Linked DNA regions of Canis lupus familiaris. The protein of the gene in region 3 interacts with the protein of the main gene of each other region in a biochemical or structural test. Links are inferred from orthologs where the notes say so. Each region holds a gene or a part of one and is shown on either strand. Other genes may lie near its edges. The genes, in order: ubiquitin carboxyl-terminal hydrolase 17-like protein 6, TTYH3 and YAP1.

Region 1 (3,165 bases), on a different chromosome or scaffold from region 3:
CCCTTTGGAATAAGAGTCCTTGTTAGTTTGCTTCTCTTCAGTCTTAATGTGGGAGAGAGTGAAGGGAACATAATAAAATCACTGTGGTTCAATCAGGTCTGGATGCAGTTATTGCCCCAAAAGTAAGCACTTAATTTCCTTCCTACAATTTCCAAGCATTGACCAAGACACATCGCTAGCAAGACCCAATACATACTTATGTGTTCAGACAAAATTCTTTCAATATAAATAGAAGAAAAGCATTGGGAAGTGGGGACCATGACGAGAGGGTCAAACATACTGACTTCAACCCCAGGTCCTCAGCATCATATCCACTCTCAACCCTGACTGCTCACTGCCTCTCACCTGCAAGTGGCCCCCACTCTCCACAAGGCTGAAGGAGAGGCAGGTTCCTGGATTGACCCCATATGAAATCCACACTATCCCAATATAAGATCATGACAAAGACCCAGGTTTAAATATCAGTGTCTCCTAGTTTCAGTTGAAGGCCATATCCCATGAACACACCAGATAGATGGTTCTTCCATACATACAGAACACACACTTCACACAACACAAAATATTTCCAGTATGGGTCTGTGTTCGGGTTTGGAGTGTGTGAGTGACGCTGTGTGTGTGGGTGTGTGCGCCCATGTGCACCAAAGTTAGGAGACACATCCCTGGACTGCTTCCCCAGAACTCTGTCCCTTCTTGCTCGTCCTCTTGGTAGGTCGGGCTCTCCCTGGCACACGCGGGACTTTGGCCACGTCCCCGGCCACCTGAGGTGGGAGCATCCCAGCCGCAGTGGTGAGCAGGTCGACGGTCTGCTGAGGATGATTCTTCGGCATCTCAGGTCTGTATTTGGAGTGGTGAAGGATGACTGCGTTCGCAGGAAGAGCAATTTCTCTTCTCCTGACATTAAGTTCAGGCTTAGGGCGGTTGCATTCTTGGAGGCATCTCCACTGGTCTAATGTCATTTGTTGCCTTGAGGTCTCTTCCCCACGCTCCTCCAACTCAGGAAGGTTCACGGAGGGATCCGTTGCCGGCTCTCCTGAGGCCTCACCCACCACTGTGGGGTCTGCCTCGGGAGATGCGAGTCCTCCCTCTTCGACTGACTCCCTCCCAAGGTCTCTCTCCAGATCAGTCTTCTGCATATAAAAGAGGACATAGGCAGGTTGGCGCAGCGCGCAAGTCACATCACAGGCGCTGACCTTAGCATCATCCATTTTATACCACTGGCCATTTCCTGCCTTTACGAAACAGAAGTAATGTCCGCTGTGGCAACTCCTCCCAGCGTGCACCAGCACGGCATAGAGCACATAAACCAAGGGTCCTGCCCTCTGCTCAGACAGGTAGTGTTGCATGTCAAGGCGCTCAGGATATTGCACCTCCTTAGTCATTTTGTTGCCTGTCAAGTCTGAGAATCGTCTCAAGACCAGGATGAGGACCTTCGGGGAAGTGTGCAAAGTCAACACCTTGGACGCAGGCACCTTCTCCAGACACTTACTACAATGGTAGGCATTTTCACCTTCCAGCAGTTCGGGCTTCACCAACTGCTCCAAAGCTTGGCTGACGCTGTGAGCATCCCCGATGTCCAGGCTGATGTCCAGGTAAGGTTCCAGAGTGCTCGAAATGCCTTGGCAGTGGAGACACTGGATTTGAGACCTCCAGTACCCCCCAAAGAGTTGCTGGATGAGGGTGCTGTCCTGAGGACACTCAGGGTCTGAGAGCTTGTCCTCAGGCAAGCATGCTTGCTGCATTGCATCCAGAATGAACATGAGATACTCATGGGCATCTTCCTGCTTGTGTCTGTGGAAGGCGGCGAGCAGGAGTGGCAGGGGCCGGAGCACACGTCCAGGATGGCAGAGAACCCACATCAGGTGAGCCTGCAGGGTACACAGCATGCAGGATGTCTGCCTCCTACAGGTGGTCCCGTGCTGCTGGGACAGCATGTAGCTGGCGAGGGGCTCTGTGTAGGTCAGACACTGTAGGGTCGCATTCACATAGCAAGTGTTGCCCATGTTCTGAAGCCCGGCTCCCACCTGGGAAAGGCTCTTCCAACTCAGAGGCGTCTTGGTGGGAGGCAGCCCTGCTGATGCGGGAGCCAACGGGTCAGTCGGGGAGGAGAGCGTCTTTGATGCAGGAGATGTCCTCTCGGGCACAGAGGGTCCTCCGTGGACTTCAGCACCGCCTCTCCTTGACCAGTATGACTGGGGTTTGGGAGAGGCGCTGAACTGAGGCTCCTCTGAGGGGTGGAGGTGGGCAGCCTCCATGTCTGCAGAAACAGTGTCCACAAGATACATTCAACCAGGAGCTTCAGGGTCGCAAAGGGATGCTCCTCTCACTGATGCCAGTTTCCAAATGTCAGATAGTGAACCTCACCTCCACCTTTATGGCTTTTGGGCCCTGGGATAAGGCACAAAGTCCTCTAATCCACTCTAATTGCTTGATTGGATTACGGGATTTGGGTGTGGTCCCTCCCTGACGGAGACCATTCAGGTCAGCCCAGCTCCTATTCTTGCCTCCCACAACAGGCAACTTTCAGATTATTCTCAACCACCTCAACTGTCCCTGCACCTTTCTCAACAGAATTTGTTCAGAGTTTCTATGTTCAGAGGAAACCTTTTTGAATGTCCTTTCCTTTGAGTAACCCCAAGGGAGCCAAGGAGTGTTAGACGTTAGTGCTCTAGGACAGGGAAGATCACTCTCCCAAAGGAGCTCAGGTATCACATAGGAACTCGTTCTCCTCACCAGCAGAATGTTTGTAGCTGAAACCAATTATTTGGGAATATGGCATCCATTGCTTGGCTTCTCCACTTCTATCTCTCTGGACTATGATTCCAATCTACAAAGATTGTGAATGTTTTGATGAATACCAGTTTCTGCCTTGGTGTGGCCCGGGTCCACCACAACAGGAATTCTCTCACTGGTTTAATGTTTTTGGGAAACATTCCTTTGAAACTCCCTTTCCTACAAGAGTCTATATCCTAAATCCAGTGTTTATATGCCTCATTTTACCTGTACAAGACCGCGGGACCTTGAACACAAGGCACCAAGCACCAGATGCCCGGTAACACACTGGGGTGCAACCTTCCTTCCCCTTGCCTTGGGCTCCAGGAGGCTGAAGGAGAATGTGGAGCCGGGGAGTCAGCGGGACCAGCGGCACCAGGCTGGGCTGTTGAACCA
Region 2 (3,749 bases), on a different chromosome or scaffold from region 3:
CTCTGTGTCTCTGCATCTCCGAGTCAATGTGTCCAAATTCCTTCTTATGAAGACATCGTCATTTGATTAGGGCCTGCCATAGTCTAGTATGACCTCATCGTAACTTGTTCACATTTGCAATGATCCTATTTCCAGATAAAACCACAGTTACAGGTACCAGGAGTTAGGACAAGGACTTATCTGTGTGTGTGTGTGTGTGTGTGTGTGTGTTGCGGGGGTGGGGGGGACACAAGTCCACTCAGGACAGCTGAGTTATCATCTCACATGTTTAGGTCAGGATTTCTGGCCTTATCAGATGGAAATGCACAATGTTTTGGGGCTTCTGGAAACATGGAAAAGAGCTCATAGACCCCATGCCTCCACATGGGGACCCTGGTCGGCCTGATACACTGGTGCCTGGGGGCATGGGAGTCAGGGTGATGCAGGGGGTCTGTGGCTGTGTGACCTGCTGCTAATAACAGGACCCAGACACCATGCCCTTTAGGGATGGAGAATGTGACCTCTCTCTTCCTGCAAGGCTGTTATTCCTCAACTGGGTGGTATCTACATTATCCCATGGGTGGACACCATAGTTTTGCAAAGGCTCTCCTATGCCCATGGGCCTTTGCAGGAGGCCAAGTGAGGCCACCCAGCCTTATTACAAGAAAACAGACAAGTCAGGTCAAGCAGGTGAGCAGATGGACAGGCCTCTTGGGAAGCCACCGCCCGGAGTCTACAAGAGCCCAGCCCAGCCTGCCAGAAGGGGCCTGTCTGCCCACAGAGCTGGCTGAGCCAGAACATAGCAGGTGACAAAGTCCCAGATGTAAGGAGGGCCCTGTTTCTCAGGATGCAAGAGGTCCAGAAATAATAGTAAGAGGCCAGCGCAGCCCCTCCAGGCTGAACCCCCGCAGAAGCTCAAGGAACGTGCAGTGGTCGAGCCGACGAGCGAGCACCCTGGGAACCCTGGGAAGCGCAGCCAGGCGTGCGGATGTGCCGCGGGGTTCCGGCCCCCACCCCCACCTGCGGGTGGAGAATCAGCGGCTGGGCGCCGGGGTCCGCTCGGTCCTCCCCGCTCGGCGCCCCTTGGCCGAGGGGCGGGGCTCCGGGTGGGCGGAGCCTCCTCTAGCGAGCCAATGGCGGACTGGGGGCGGAGGCCTGCGGGCGGGCGCGCGGGGGCGGGGCCGGCGGGCGGCGGACCAATGGCGGCGGGGGGCGGGGCCGGCGGCAGAGGCGGGGCCGGCGGGCGGCGGGCCAATGGCAGCGCGGGGGCGGGGCGGCGGGCGGCGGGCGGGGGCGGGGGCGCGCGCGGAGGCGGCGGCGGCGGCGGCGGCGGCGGCGAACAAAGAGGCGGCGGGCGCGGGCGGCCGAGCGGAGCCGAGCGTAGCCGAGCCGGGCCGAGCCGGGCCGGGCCGGGCCCAGGAGCGCGCGGGCGATGCGGGCGGCCAGGCGGGGGGTGGCGGACCCCTGAAGCCCGCGCCCCCGGGCCAGCGAGGGAGCCCCGCGGCGGCGCGCGCCCGAGGCAGCGGCCCGCCATGGCCGGGGTCAGCTACGCGGCGCCCTGGTGGGTGAACCTCCTGCACCGGCTGCCCCACTTCGACCTGCGCTGGGAGACCACCAGCAGCCAGTTCCGGCCCGAGGACACCGACTACCAGCAGGTGACGCGGCCCCCCGGGGTCGGGGGTCAGGACCCGGGGTCCGGGCCTCGCCATGCCGGAGTCTGGGGGCCCTCGACCCCCCCCACCGCCATCGAGGGTCTGGGGGGTTCCCCTCCCCGAGGGTCGCCGCCCCCGTCCCCCTGGAGGGTCAAGGCCTCCGCCTTCCCCAGGGTCCTCCTGCGTCCTGGGGCCCCCCTCCGTGAGCGTCTAGAGACCCCCGTCCTGCATCGAGGGTCCATGGCCCTCCTGCAGATGCTAGTCTTCTCCCCTGGTGTCACTTGGGCCCTCCCTTCTGGGGTCTGGGGGAGCCCCCTGTGCCAGCTGTCAGCCCCAGCCCAGGCCCCTGCCCCACTCCTGGGGCAGCCCTCACCTGTGGCCCTGCAGAGCCCCCAACCCACAGGGGCCCAGGGCTCTGAGACCCAGCTGATACCTGAGAGTACTGGGTGCAGCCAGGAGGGGATTCCTTGCTCCCTTCCCCCCGGCTGGGGAATCCCACTCCCTGCCAAGATTTTGGTGGGTGAGTGAGCTGGGCAGGTGCCAGCCCTCTGTGGCTGGCCGTGACCCCCGGCTGGGTGGCCAGGCTGTGGGGATGCACAGTGCTGTGTGTGCGGTGGTGACACCTGGCCTGCCTAGAGACCCGGCTGCCAGTAGCCCCTGAGGAAGGAAGGCCTGACCACAGGGACACTCAAGGTGGGCCTCAGTCTGGGAGTCTGGGCAGAGTAGGGGGCAGTGGGAGCCTCTGCAGCCTTCTCCCCAAGGGACCAGGCTCTCCCAGTAGAACCCGAGGCCTGGGGTCATGCCAAGCCCAAGCACCAACCCCCCCCCCCCCCCCCCCTTTGCTTGAGCCACTGTCATTTGAGTGCAGGGCAGGGGACCAGGCTGTGGGCATTTCCTTCCTGCCTGGGGATCCGGATTCCAGAAGCCCCATGGCAGGGATGCCTGGTCACCCAGAACTCCCCCAGAGTGCTTTCTCTCCAGTGGTCATTGCAGAGCCCCGGGTGGAGTAGATCAGCCTTGCTTGTCAAGATGGCCTGGGAATCCAGGATTCCATGATATGATCACACCTCGCCTTTGTAGAATTCTGTCTTCTGTGGCCACCCTCATCTAGAAGATGAGAATCGGAAGCAGAGAGCAAGGGCACCATGGGCACCCCAACTCTGCAGAGGAGCCCACCACTCCCAGCTTCAGTGCTCACCTGAGGCCTGCCCCCCACCGCCCCACCCCCAGCTCTGCTGATTTGTTTCTAAGCAGATTAGAAAGGGGGCCAAGGATTGGCCCAGGCATGCCCAGAGACAGCATGATTTTTATAAAACTCAACGCCCACATTCTAAAAGCCCAGCCCTGGGGTGCCGACCAGTGTGGGAACAACACCCTTCTGTGCTCCCAGGGGCTTCCATATGTCATGGCTCTGTCACGTCCATGTCCATCTCCTGGCTCCCGCGGGCCAGGGGCTCTGCTGTACTTAGGAAGTTCTCTGCCACTTCTCAGTTGGGAAGCTCTCGGGTTGCCCCTGGGGCCACCTGGGGTGTCTGGGACCTGCACAGAGCTGGCCTGCTGGCCTGTAGGCGGCACCTGCTGTGGGCCAACCTCCTGCCCTCTGGGGCTCCTGGGACACGTTGTGGGGAAGGGAATGAGGGGCCAACGCTTGCAGCCTGTGGAAGCCTCCAGAATGGTAGCCAGCCCCCCAGCTCAGCCTGACCCCCTGCAGGGCCCTGTGCCCCTAAGAGGTCCCTGGTGTCTTCCCCCAGCCTCTGTGATCACTGTTCCCTCCTCCGCTGTGGGAGGGCTCTGACTCACTCTCCTGCCTCCTCTCTGTGGAGCAGAATTAGCCACTGAATAATTCACGGCGTGGAAACCAGCCTGTCTCCATCCCCCGCCGCCTCCGCTCCTGGCTGGGGGCTGTAGAATGAGCCAGGCCTGGACATACATCCTGCCCCCTGCCCTCCCATGCTGGTGCTTTTGGGCAAGCATTTGACCTCTCTGATCCTTAATTGCCACATCCTGAAATCTGGGCTGGCACACTTTTGTGGGGTCACAGTGGGGAATGCAAGGGCCCTGTGTTCCTGCTCCATTTTTGGTTGCAACAGACAGAGCTCCCTTCCTGGGTGGCTGGGC
Region 3 (3,649 bases):
CACATGGTTGCTTCTCCCCACCTGGAAAAAGGGCAATGACCTCCTAGCTCTTCAGTCCTTTAAATCTTTTGAACTCTGAGCACAGACAATCTGTTTTCAAGACTGAGATTCTTCCCTTAAATCAGATAAATGTCTGAGTTAGGACAGTAGCCACAATCTCCCCATCTAAGTAAGATGTTCTCTCAACCAGTAATCTCTGGGGTTCATCCGGGAGAAAAGTTGATAAACAATAAAAAACCCAAAACATGACCCAAGCAGACGCTTCCTCTTTTGGTAATTGAGATACTCTTCCTTTGGAATGCCCTGAGAAGAATTTTTCCTCTAAAAGTACCATTTTGACTCTCTTAGGATTTCTTAGTCTACCCAAGGAGATCATCTGTGCCATTTTGTTACTGTTCAAATGGTTAATTCCTATAAATCATTATAAATACTATTTTAAGCTAGGCAAATGAAAATCAGGCATGCCCCAAGGTTGACAGGATGCACACCTAAGATATAATACATATCCAATATGTAATAGAGCAAGACTTCCATGGAATCAAAATGAGCACTAGGACTCTCTGGAAGCAGCAGGAGGAAGCAGGCAGTGTAGACTTTCTGGGAATGGCAATGGTAACGTTACATATTTGGAAGAAGATGGCTCAAGTGTTATACCCTGGGCTAACGGTCAGTGAGGACAGGCCCCTGGAGCACAAGTTTCTCGCTTTCCTAATTTAATATCTTTTTTTTTTTTTTTTTTAAATGCTAGAACATCAGATAAGAGCCTACCTGACATTTTGGAGAATTTGCTGTGCTGGGACTGATATTCCGCATTGCCTAAGAGTAAAAAATAAGATGGATAAAAATTACTTTAAGCCACATGGTTTGGCTATGTAGGCTGACTTACAAATTTCATCCAGACATACCACCATAGCACAGAACTCCCAAGCCAGCCCAAGAAGCAGCAACTGAGGAAGACAGTAGCCAACGGAGTCACCACATAACAAACTGAAACCGAGGAATACTGAACAGCATAGCATTGAGGACAGGACAGCAGGCTTTAGGTGTCAGACTCAAACTCAACCTCAAACACGTGATGTTGGTCAGGGAGGTTCTTTGCTTCTGAATATTAGAAGAAGCAGGAAAAATGTAACTCGACATTCTGGGATAAGAGCAACCAACAGAAGAAGAAATTCATAGAAATCCAAAACTTCAGACTTGCTGAATTTATACTGATTGCCAAAAAGCAAAACCAAAAAAATCCTAATAAACAGACTATTAGTATGAGAATAGAGCAGGTCTGTCACTTCAACGGGAGAAGAGACAACACAGTTGGTGACAGAGAAGAAACACAGAAGTTGCCTTTAAAGGAAGTTAAGCTGTTTTGTCTAGGACCCATCACCCACAGGAAGAGAGTAAGACTTAGGAAAATTCTCTGAAGGAAGAGTTTTATAAACAGCAGCATTGCCCACCAAAACAAAACATCACAGAACAAAACAAAAATTCCAGTCTGATTGATGGCATACAACAAAATGATGAATGGTAACATTAACAATTACGTAATTTTTCTTAATAAGATTTCTTGGTTTTGACAGTTTTCAACTCATATCTGACACTGAGACTTGTCTGTACTGAGACCATCTAGTGATCAGTAACAAAGTGAAAAGCAAGCATCGAAAACAGGCTCTTAGCTGATCTCTTCTAACAGAGGCATAATTATACTCTTGATGGTGCTACCTTGTTCTGATGATAAAGATTTAAATGAAATATATCTTTCCTTTTAGTAATTGGTTGGAAACTCAGAGGTACAATAAATTGTGTGAATATGATTCCTTTCTCCACCTTGTTGATGGCAGATAAAAAAAAACCATCTTTCGAGACTACTCCCTGACATGAAACATGGGAACATGTGCTCTCTCGTCCCCGGGCTCGCTCGGGGTGCTAAGCACTAGGCTTGCACTGACCAATGGCTGACAGCATAGTCTGTCTGGGACCTCCAGGGCTTATCTTTCATCCCCAGGGCTCAGGCTTCAGTGACCATACCACGTCCATGGGTTTCCAGTGACACTCCTGTGTCCAGAAAAGTGGAGTGTCATGTTTTTATTTCTACACTTGGGAGGCTACAATTTAGTGGGAAAAATAGTGAATACATGTGTTTCATGTCTGTGGACAGAATACCAATGAAAAATGAAAATGAGAAGCTGACCATTCCAGACACCCTGAGGAGGACAGGACTCGGGGCACAAGCACCTTCTGCCTACTTTCAAAATTGCACTGTTTCTATGGTCAAAACAATTTTATGAAAACTAAAATATATACTGCTCTGATAAGATTGCATGCCTGGTCCCTCCCAAAATAAGAGACCGTAAAAACCTGATTCTGCCAGGGGGCTGTCTAATCTCCTGACAAAGGAGCTCAGCAGCCATATCCTGAGATAAGACTCATGGAAACCTCCGTCCTACCTGCCATCCTACCTGCCATCTCAAAGGGACATTCAGAGCAGTACATTTTAAGGCACTAGGGGATCTAGTTCTAAACTTGGGGTCACTTGTACTATGTTTGAAATAAAATATCTTAGATTCAGCAATGCTGCCACCACTTGCCTATTTGAGAAATGTCTTAGTGATTTACTCCCAGCGGGAAGACCTCAGTGTCTGGTCGCCTACAGCTAAGTGGCCCCAGAAGGCAAAAATCCATCTGTGTTGCAGGCGGGCCTGGGAATGAAGACAGGGCGGAGCTGGAGACAATATGTCTGGGTTGCTGCTCCAGCAGGTGAAAGAGCAGCACCCCCTTGGAGATACCAAGGCTAGAAGAAAACACCGGGACCACACACAGGAAGCACACCCCGAAAAGTGGAAGGCTGGCCTCTAACCTGGGGCCTCACCTGGCGGAGCAGCTCCTGCTGCTTCAGGCGCAGCCGCTCCTTCTCCATCTGCAGCTGCTGGAGGCGCATCTGTTGCTGTTGGCTGGAGCCCCCGCCCCCTAGGACGCCTGGAGGGCTCTGCGGGGCTAGGGGCGGGGGCTGCTTCACCGGAGCGCTCTGGCTGATTCTCTGGTTCATGGCTGCAACAGAACAAAACATCTAGCCTAAAAATCTGGTAGCAAAGGCAAAGGACAGCTTTTCAAAAGCAACTGGGAATACTCAACGTAGCCTTTATGGCAGGAAGGCTGGAAATAACCTGAAAACCCACCACTGGGACAATGGTTCCATGAACTTGTTATCACGGCTGCTGCCTCCGTGGTCCTTATAAGATGCAAGACTGAAGAGACAAGATGGGGCGCGCATCGGCCACAATGTGAACGGTCGAAGATGTATACAGATAAAAGCCAAGGGTGGAACAGAAGGTATAAAAAAAGGAGGGGTATACGTATTCCATGCACATCCAGAGCACAGCAAGGGATGGGCAGCCCAGAAGCCACGAACGTGTGTTGGCTTTGGACCTGGGGCTCTGTGATGGAAGGGTGGAGTTGCACAGATAGTTTTGGGTCACTTTGGATATCTGAGTGATGTGAACACGTTATTTACTACAAAATATAAGTACAGGTTTAATTAAAAATACTTCTACCACAGCCAGTTTACTTAAAAACACATCTACCACAGCCAGTGACACGAAGCATTCTGAGCAGCAAAGTCCATTAAAAGTGCTCAGTCCTCAGGACACCTGGCTGG

What was found.
Region 1: the proteins of YAP1 (region 3) and ubiquitin carboxyl-terminal hydrolase 17-like protein 6 form a complex in vitro, tested with the Homo sapiens proteins (3 studies listed by BioGRID, with this or other methods). The link is inferred for Canis lupus familiaris from reciprocal best matches to the Homo sapiens genes YAP1 and USP17L2.
Region 2: the proteins of YAP1 (region 3) and TTYH3 interact in a test that uses a peptide from one of them, tested with the Homo sapiens proteins (2 studies listed by BioGRID and IntAct, with this or other methods). The link is inferred for Canis lupus familiaris from reciprocal best matches to the Homo sapiens genes YAP1 and TTYH3.

What each region holds. Positions count from the first base shown.
Region 1 is NW_023330959.1:17,601-20,765, forward strand, and holds ubiquitin carboxyl-terminal hydrolase 17-like protein 6, read right to left. Parts: upstream 2,253-3,165; coding exon 645-2,252; downstream 1-644. UniProt on the Homo sapiens protein: Deubiquitinating enzyme that removes conjugated ubiquitin from specific proteins to regulate different cellular processes.
Region 2 is NC_049227.1:14,738,328-14,742,076, forward strand, and holds the start of TTYH3 (protein tweety homolog 3), read left to right. Parts: upstream 1-1,467; 5' UTR 1,468-1,511; coding exon 1,512-1,634; intron 1,635-3,749. UniProt on the Homo sapiens protein: Calcium-independent, swelling-dependent volume-regulated anion channel (VRAC-swell) which plays a pivotal role in the process of regulatory volume decrease (RVD) in the brain through the efflux of anions like chloride and organic osmolytes like glutamate.
Region 3 is NC_049226.1:29,551,497-29,555,145, forward strand, and holds part of YAP1 (transcriptional coactivator YAP1), read right to left. Parts: intron 3,043-3,649; coding exon 2,852-3,042; intron 817-2,851; coding exon 769-816; intron 1-768. UniProt on the Homo sapiens protein: Transcriptional regulator with dual roles as a coactivator and corepressor. Critical downstream regulatory target in the Hippo signaling pathway, crucial for organ size control and tumor suppression by restricting proliferation and promoting apoptosis.